Linked DNA regions of Callithrix jacchus. The protein of the gene in region 1 interacts with the protein of each later gene in a pairwise test. Links are inferred from orthologs where the notes say so. Each region holds a gene or a part of one and is shown on either strand. Other genes may lie near its edges. The genes, in order: SHTN1 and FABP3.

Evidence for each region.
Region 2: the proteins of SHTN1 (region 1) and FABP3 interact in binary tests that used the Homo sapiens proteins (3 or more experiments, as listed by UniProt). The two-hybrid records come from large-scale screens. The link is inferred for Callithrix jacchus from reciprocal best matches to the Homo sapiens genes SHTN1 and FABP3.

Annotation. Positions count from the first base shown.
Region 1 is NC_133513.1:109,830,171-109,833,247, reverse strand, and holds the end of SHTN1 (shootin-1), read left to right. Parts: intron 1-544; coding exon 545-767; 3' UTR 768-2,312; downstream 2,313-3,077. UniProt on the Homo sapiens protein: Involved in the generation of internal asymmetric signals required for neuronal polarization and neurite outgrowth.
Region 2 is NC_133508.1:68,013,301-68,017,915, reverse strand, and holds the start of FABP3 (fatty acid-binding protein, heart), read left to right. Parts: upstream 1-1,753; 5' UTR 1,754-1,815; coding exon 1,816-1,888; exon of another isoform or gene 1,889-4,615. UniProt on the Homo sapiens protein: FABPs are thought to play a role in the intracellular transport of long-chain fatty acids and their acyl-CoA esters.

The DNA.
Region 1 (3,077 bases):
TCCTCTAGTTGGTAATGGCAGCAGCAGGCATGCCTCTCACCTGTCCATCAGTGATCAGGGGTAATTACTTCCCCTCGTCCATGCAGGCTCCTCAGGGATGCCCTGCAACCAGCCATACCCAGGAACACGTAGGAGGGAAGGGAGTTAACTGACTCCTTCCAGCTAAGTGAGGGTGGGCGGGAGTCTGGGCAGCAGGCCATGAGGAGAAGTTCACAGTTTGTCCATGAGCTTTACGCTTCCTGAGAAGAGCATGCAATTAAGCAGGTAGGTGCGTTTGGCTTTCTTATACTTTGGTAGTTAGTTAATCGCTCTTTCTCTGCCTTCTTCCTTCTGGCCTTGTGCTCCTAATATCAGCTGTGTAATCCGATAGCTTCATGTTTTCTTTTAAATGGCTGGCATCTCAAAGATGACTGTATGCATGTTGATTAGACTTAGAACATTTTGGGTTTTATGTTGTTCTGAATACAGAATATCAGAGACAACTATTTTCTCTCTCTGCTTTTTATTTTTATTTTTTATTTTTGTCTAACTCTTCATCTCATAGGCCTCCCAGTAGCATTGGATGCAGGAAAAAATACTTTGATGGTGAAAAACAAGCCGAACCAGTTGTAGTTTTAGATCCTGTTTCTACACATGAACCCCAAACCAAAGACCAGGTTGCTGAAAAAGATCCAACTCAACACAAGAAGGATGAAGGCGAAATTAAACCAGAAAACAAAGAAGACAGCATTGAAAACGTGAGAGAGACAGACAGCTCCAACTGCTAATCCATAAACCAGAAGCCTGACATGTTTGGAAGTCCTTTTCAATAAGCACACGACTAGTGTGGGTGTATTGGCAAGGGCCATAGACATTCTGCTCTGGTCACTGTATTCAGAACACAGGTTCTTTTCTGGTGTCACTTTTGTAAGTAGCAACTATAAACATAAGTAAGCTGTTTAGCAAAATACACGTTCCTAGTAGGTTTTGGTTTTTTGATCTTTATAAAGATGAGATTTTCTTTTCCTAGTTGCTGTATTAAGTATGACTTCCTTTAGAAGATTACAAAAAAATTCAGATGTTGATACCTTTTTAGGAAATGTGCATACCACTCATCAAATGGAATGATGAAAGTTTGAGGTGCTTGTGGATAATTTGATAAACAAAACTGATCAACCTAATACGATTTTAAAAGCCCCCCCCAAGAAGCTTCTGTTTTGGGTCTGATCCTCTTGATGGAGAAACTGCAGCAGCATGGAAATCGTTGGGTACTGTGGCATACAAGTTATTTTCTATGGTAGACTGAGATAAACTTAAAACTCAGGAGCTGGCATCAAACTCATAGTCCCATAGTCAGTGTTAATTACACACATTGTTAACTATTGGATGAAAAATACATGATATTGATTGTGTCCAAAGCCTCCCAAGGACCTCCGAGGGGATGCTCTGGTAGCCTGAATACAGAATTGAGGTGGAAGTCTAAACCTTGAATTTAACAGTAATACGCTGGTAAACCAAGTGCTCTGTGCTATGAGTTAATTATGTTTTCCCATATACTAATGTGGCACAAGTACCGTATTTTATCACAGTTCTTATGTACAGTGAAGATAAGTGACAAGCACACATTTTTCTTGCTTCACTGCTGTTCTATATTACACAGGTTTGTTGTTTTTTTAAAAAAAGAAATTAAGCAGTAGTTAGTCTCTAAGAATACAATGTTTCAGGCTACCACAATGAATAAATAGAAATGTAATCAAGGATTTAAAAAAAAACTTATGCAGCTTTTCAAAGTTGATTGTTTCAAAATTGGTGTTTATTTAAAATAAGTGGTAATGTACTTAAATGCACTTTTTATGACAATGATTCAGTAATGGTAATTTTACTATTAAAGAAAGTGAAAGGTTTAGTTTTGTTAGCATGGCTCAGCATGTAGCTTTCAGGTGTTTTTCACCTAAGGGCAAAAGAAAATGATAGTAATAATTGCAGTAGTTGTATTGTATTGTATTTTTGCACGTGTGGTAAGCATAGGCTTGAAGAGGTGGGTAGGCAGGTACATGTACTTCCTAAATTTGGAGATAATTATCTTTCTGTAATTTCATTATGCTTGACTATTTCCATGTTCTCCCAATGATGAGTTTACAGTTACTTATCACTTTACTCATGGAGACTTAAAATGTAATGTTTTTCAACTGTATCTTTCCTTGACTGGACAATACTGCTATATGATATGCTAACTACAGACTGCATTAATTCACTAAGCGAATTCTGTTATGCTGTAATATGAACTCTCCTCACCACAACTTATTAAAAAGGCACCAACAGTTTCCCATTAAGGGTCAATTGTAGTTATTATCAACATTTTTGGCTTAGCTCCCGAAGCTTGACGTTCTTTAATAGAAAACTGTATACAAGTTGACAACTTTAGTAACTTTTAATAGTCCCTTAGATGGTTTGCGTTTTCTTTCATGTTTCTTTGTGCTGTCTTCCTTCTTGCATCTGTGATCCGTCTGCCAGTATGCAACTCACACACATTTAAGAATATAAATATGTGTACACTGTCTTTCCATATTTCATCACACCATCAACACAATAATATGGTTATCCAAACACCTTCCTTTCTGGAGTAAGAAGTTGCCCTTTTGGTGAAATGTGCTAGCTGGACTAGGGAACAGTTCGTATCAGGTATTTTGAGAGTGTTTTTACGTTTTTTAAGCTGCTTTGTTTCTCCTACTGTGATTACAAAGAATTTTAAATTAATTTGACATAAAGTATTTGATGTAAGATTGTCACTCACCTTTTCTGCCTAGAGTTTTTCCCTTTTCACTTGGATTTTGAGGGGTTTTTGCCCCTGGCTGGGGTGACATTGTCAACCAAAGCAAGGTATTCCAGATAGGAAGACATAGGAGAACTATGCTTATATCTGCAAAGTATGTTCATAGCTGTTGCACACACAAAACTTACATGCAACCTGTGTACACGATTTTAAGTTGGAAGAGACTGCATCTTGATGTTTGATTTCTCTAAAAGGTTATTTATGCTTCCTTCTGTTTGGGAAAGATAAATTAAGTCTTGTGGGCTACAGAGGTGTTTTTTTAATT
Region 2 (4,615 bases), on another chromosome or scaffold:
CACATGGAGAAACAGAGTCCCAGGAAGGAAGACCTGCCACACTATATGCACGTGGCCGAGTTGGCAGGCCTCAGGGCTCCTGTGTTGGCTCCTGCAGGCCCACCCTGGACAGGCTGCTGCTGGCTGAAGTTCAGTTCCGCACTACTCCTTCATGTGCTGGGCCTCCTGCCATCACTCAGAAACTAATTTATACCTCACTTCCTCTGAGAAGCCTACACTGAGCCTCAGGTCAGGACAGGACTGGACCCCCGTTAAAGTCACATTAGTTTTGTGTTTGGCTGCCCAGAGGTGAGTATGTGTTTCGTTCCCTGTTGTCTCTCTTCAAAGCAGGGCCTGGTACAAAGTAGGTACTTTAATAACTGCTGAATTAATAAGTGAACTCAGAGCTTCAGCTTGTTCATCTATTTAAAAAGACAAGATAATATAGTAACACCTATTTCATGGATTTTGTTTTAAAAGTTCAATGAGGCCAGGCTTGGTGGTGTGTGCCTACAGTCCCAGCTTCTTGGGAAGCTAAGGTGGGAGGATCCCTTGAGCCCTGGAGTTTGAGGCTGCAGTGAGCTGTGATGGCATCACAGTACTCCAGGCTGGGAGACACATTGAGAGACCTTGTCTCTAAAAAATAATAAAAAAATGAAAATTCCAATGAAACAATATACCTAAAGCCCTCAGCATGCAATAAATATCAATACAAGGCAGGTCTTACATCCACTCAAAGTGCTTAGTGAACTATACAGTGTCAAACCACTGCACAACAGGCTCTGGAAAGGAGGCAGCAAAGTACCCAAAGTGCAGAGACTTGCTAGTGTGAACAGGTCAGGGAAGGCAGCAGGTGGGGAAGGCAGCAGTGGGCCTTGAAGAGCTGACCGAATTGGCAGAATTTCTGAAGGAGGGTGAGCTGGGAAGGAACTGAGCTAAAACTTGGAGCTGTGCGGATAGACTGGAAAAGCCCGAAGCACTTGCAGGGGCGGGTGGGGAGTTGGATGGTAGGATGGGGTGGGGTGGGGTGGGGTGGGGCGGGGCGGGAGGAGGGCCAGCATGAAACATTCTGCAGGGAGGGGCAAGCACGTGTGAGCAGGCGGGCGCAGATGCGAAAGGTCAGGCTTTCGCACAAAACAGGCAGAAGACAAGGTCAGCTCAGCCGCAAACGGAGCCCCTGGTAATTGTTTCCGCCACCAGGCAGTGGGAGTGAAGGGACAGCGCGGCCTTGCTAGGCTAAGCTTGCAATCTGAAGATCCATTCACCCGCTATTTCTTGAGACCTTGCCAGTTCCCCGCTGAGCCGCGGGCTCCTCACTTGTAAAACGAGGACGGATGCCTGCGCCAGAAGTCAACCAGAGTTTTTCCCGGCGTGGGCACCAGCCCAAGGTCGAGTTTTCCTTTTCTAGTCTCATCTCTGCTCTGACCCCAAGCTCAAAGAGGGACTGGGCTACGGAAGATATCCATGGCATGCGCCCCAGCTCTCCGGCCGGTGCCGGCTGCTTCCTTCTCGGATTCCAGAGTGCCTAGAGGCCAGGAAAGGGAGATGGTCCTGCCAGCCTGGGGTAGAGACTAGGGGGCCAGGCACTGGCGCTGACGCAGGCAAGCAGGGCGCCACTGACTGGTCCCCTCCCACCTCGGCGGGTTGGGGGATGGCGGACCAGCCCCTCCTGGGTGAGCCCTAGCCTGGGGCTTCCTATTTCGGGAGCCGGGGGCGTGGGCCACGTCTCATGTGATGCGAGGGCTATTTAAAGCAGCAGCCCGGGCACGGAGCCGCCGTCCGAATCTTTGCACGCCTGCTCTCTCGCAGCTTGTCTCAGCCTAGCCCAGCATCACTATGGTGGACGCTTTCCTGGGCACCTGGAAGCTAGTGGACAGCAAGAATTTCGATGACTACATGAAGTCACTCGGTGAGCAAGCCGCGGGGCTCTGGATGCTGGCTTGGGGAGGGGCTGGTGGCATCCCTAGCACCACGCAGGGCTCCTGCTGCATCCCTCTTGGTTAAGACTGGGGAATAGGGGAACGCGGAATGGCGGCCTGGGCTAGGGCAGGTAGAGCCTGTTCGGAAGGGGATTTCATGGTCCAAATCTGGTTAGAGACCATGGTAGGGAGGTGGAGGAAGGAGGCAGCTGTGTGGGAGGCTCTTTCCAGGAAGACAGATATATGATTTGGAGGTAGGAGGAGGGTTTGGATAAAGAACACTGATCACAGGAAGGGGAGTCTAGTCAAGGAAGAGAAAGAACGGGGCATGGGTAGTTTAGAAATTGGAGGAGACTGAACCCAGAAAGGGAATGGGGCAGCTAGGGAGTGTACTATGACCTTAAACAAGTAGGAAATACCTAGGAGGAAGATCGGTGGGGAAAAAACGTGTATCAGTGAATCAGATATGAGGATGAGGTAAGACAGGGACCTTCAGTAAGCAGCAATCCCCATCTCTCCATGTTGGATTAGGGAAGGGGATTGTTGCTGAAAATGCTCTTTCTCCCAAGCTAGTCTGACCTTGTCCTGCGGTGATATGTAACCAGGCCTTAATCACTGTCTGTGAGCCTCGTGGTAGGGTGGGGCAAGAGGCCCATCATCAGCTGGGCCTTTCCTGCAACCCAAGGCTCACCCACCTGTGCAAAGGGTAGGCAGAGAAAGCCATTGGACTTCTACTGTGCAGTAGAGGGTGTCAGAGCAAGGTCAAGACCTGGGAGGGAGGTTGACTGGTTTAGGAGGCTGTGAAGAACTGCTGTGGTGTTGAGATGGTTAAGAAAAAGGATTCAAAGAATCTTACAGGTGAGGAACTTGGAGATTCCCATACCGTCTGGTTCAACAGGGAAATTGAAACCAGGAGAGTAGAAATGTATTATAACAATTCCACAGCAGAGCTGATATGAAAACCTAAGGTTTCTAGATCTGTTACCCAGAGCTCTTTCCACTACCCTATAGGCCCTGGGAGTGGGAAGCAAAGTAGGAACTGCTTAGCTAATGATTGACCTCAGCCCTTCTTCTACTGCTTTGGTCTGATGGAGAGGTCAAAGCTCTTAACGGCCCCTAGTCTACCCTGGGCGCTATGCCCAGTAATTCCAGGTAGGCAGTCATTCTTAGAGGAACAGCCCCCCAACCCCCACTAACACACCCCAGCAGCTATTGGGAAGTTGGAATGCCCAGACTTAGTTCCTCCTTCCAAAGCTAGGCCAGAGTCGAGTCCCTGGACTGAGCTGAAACAACTTTACCACTGTTGTTCCCTTATTCCGCCCCAAGTTGGGTGGGTGGGGAGCGATCTCCCTAAAGACCTGTTATTTTTCAGCAGCTTATGCTAAGGCAGCCTGCTTTTTCATAGGAACAGGAAGCCTGGGAAAAGACCCTCCTCAGCTCTCAGTAAATAGCACTGGCTTCATTTCTAAGTAGAACCCAGATCTCTGAGTCTCCTAAATTCTGTCAGCTCAATATTCTTAATTTCTCTTGGTTCAGACCCTCACTTATCCCACAGTGGTTTCCTCTTCAGACACTCTATACCTCTGGGTAGGTCCTAAGCAAACAGTCCTGCTCTGTGCATGGGAGTGTCATTGGCCTGACTTCCTGACACCAAGGGGCAAGGCCAAGTTCCTCACTGGCCAGGCAAGGGTAGGCTGACAGCATAGCCCCTGCCCCTCCTGCTGTAGACCTAGGGCTCTCAAGGGGCAAAGAGGTCCCATCTAGTACCAGTGACCACCGGCACAACTGGTGGCCTGGATTGAGTATGTGCTGGGCAGAATGGCCTAGTGGAAACAGTGAGCCGTTTTGGAGCCTAGATTCAAATCCGTCAGTAGTTTACTCCGTTTGAATTTCGAGGAGACACTTCACTCTCTATTGTAAATTGGGGATAATCTAAGCTTCAGGGCTGTTACAAGCATTAAGTACAACTCATGTAGGGCATGTGCAGAGTACCTAGCTCCAGTAAGCACTATGCAGCCAGGCACATTTGGAGACTATACACACCACTTCACTACACTGGACTGCCTCCTGCCTCACCATTGCCTTGGAGGACAGCTCAGCATAAGCTGCTGGGGGGAGAAGGGGCAGTCATGATTAGTTCTTTGTTCTTTACTTGCTTGCAGGACACGTAGGACTTGCCTCGTACCCAAGGAAGCCATGCTTGGGTCAGGAAGATAGTCTCTGTAGAGCCTTAGACTAGGAGTCAGGAGACTTGGGTTTGAATCTCACTCACTGTTTTGTTTTGTTTTGGTTTTGAGATGGAGTTTCACTCTGGTTGCCCAGGCTGGAGTGCAATGGCATGATCTCAGCTCACTGCAACCTCTGCCTCTTGGGTTCAAGTGATTCTCCTGCCTCAGCCTCCCGAGTAGTTGGGATTACAGGCGTGCGCCACCACGCCTGGCTAATTTTGTATTTTTAGTAGAGATGGGTTTCTCCATGTTGGTCAGGCTGGTCTCAAACTCCCAACCTCAGGCGATCCATCTACCTTGGCCTCCCAAAGTGCTGGGATTACAGGCATGAGCCACCATGCCCAGCAGAGTCTAATTCATTGTTGCTACCGCTTTAGACCCTCCTCAATCTGTGCAAGAGGACAAATACTTCCTTTGTATCTAACTCCTAGATCATAGATAACAGGCTTTGAAAATGTTGGGTTGCCATATATAAGGGACAAGAGCACA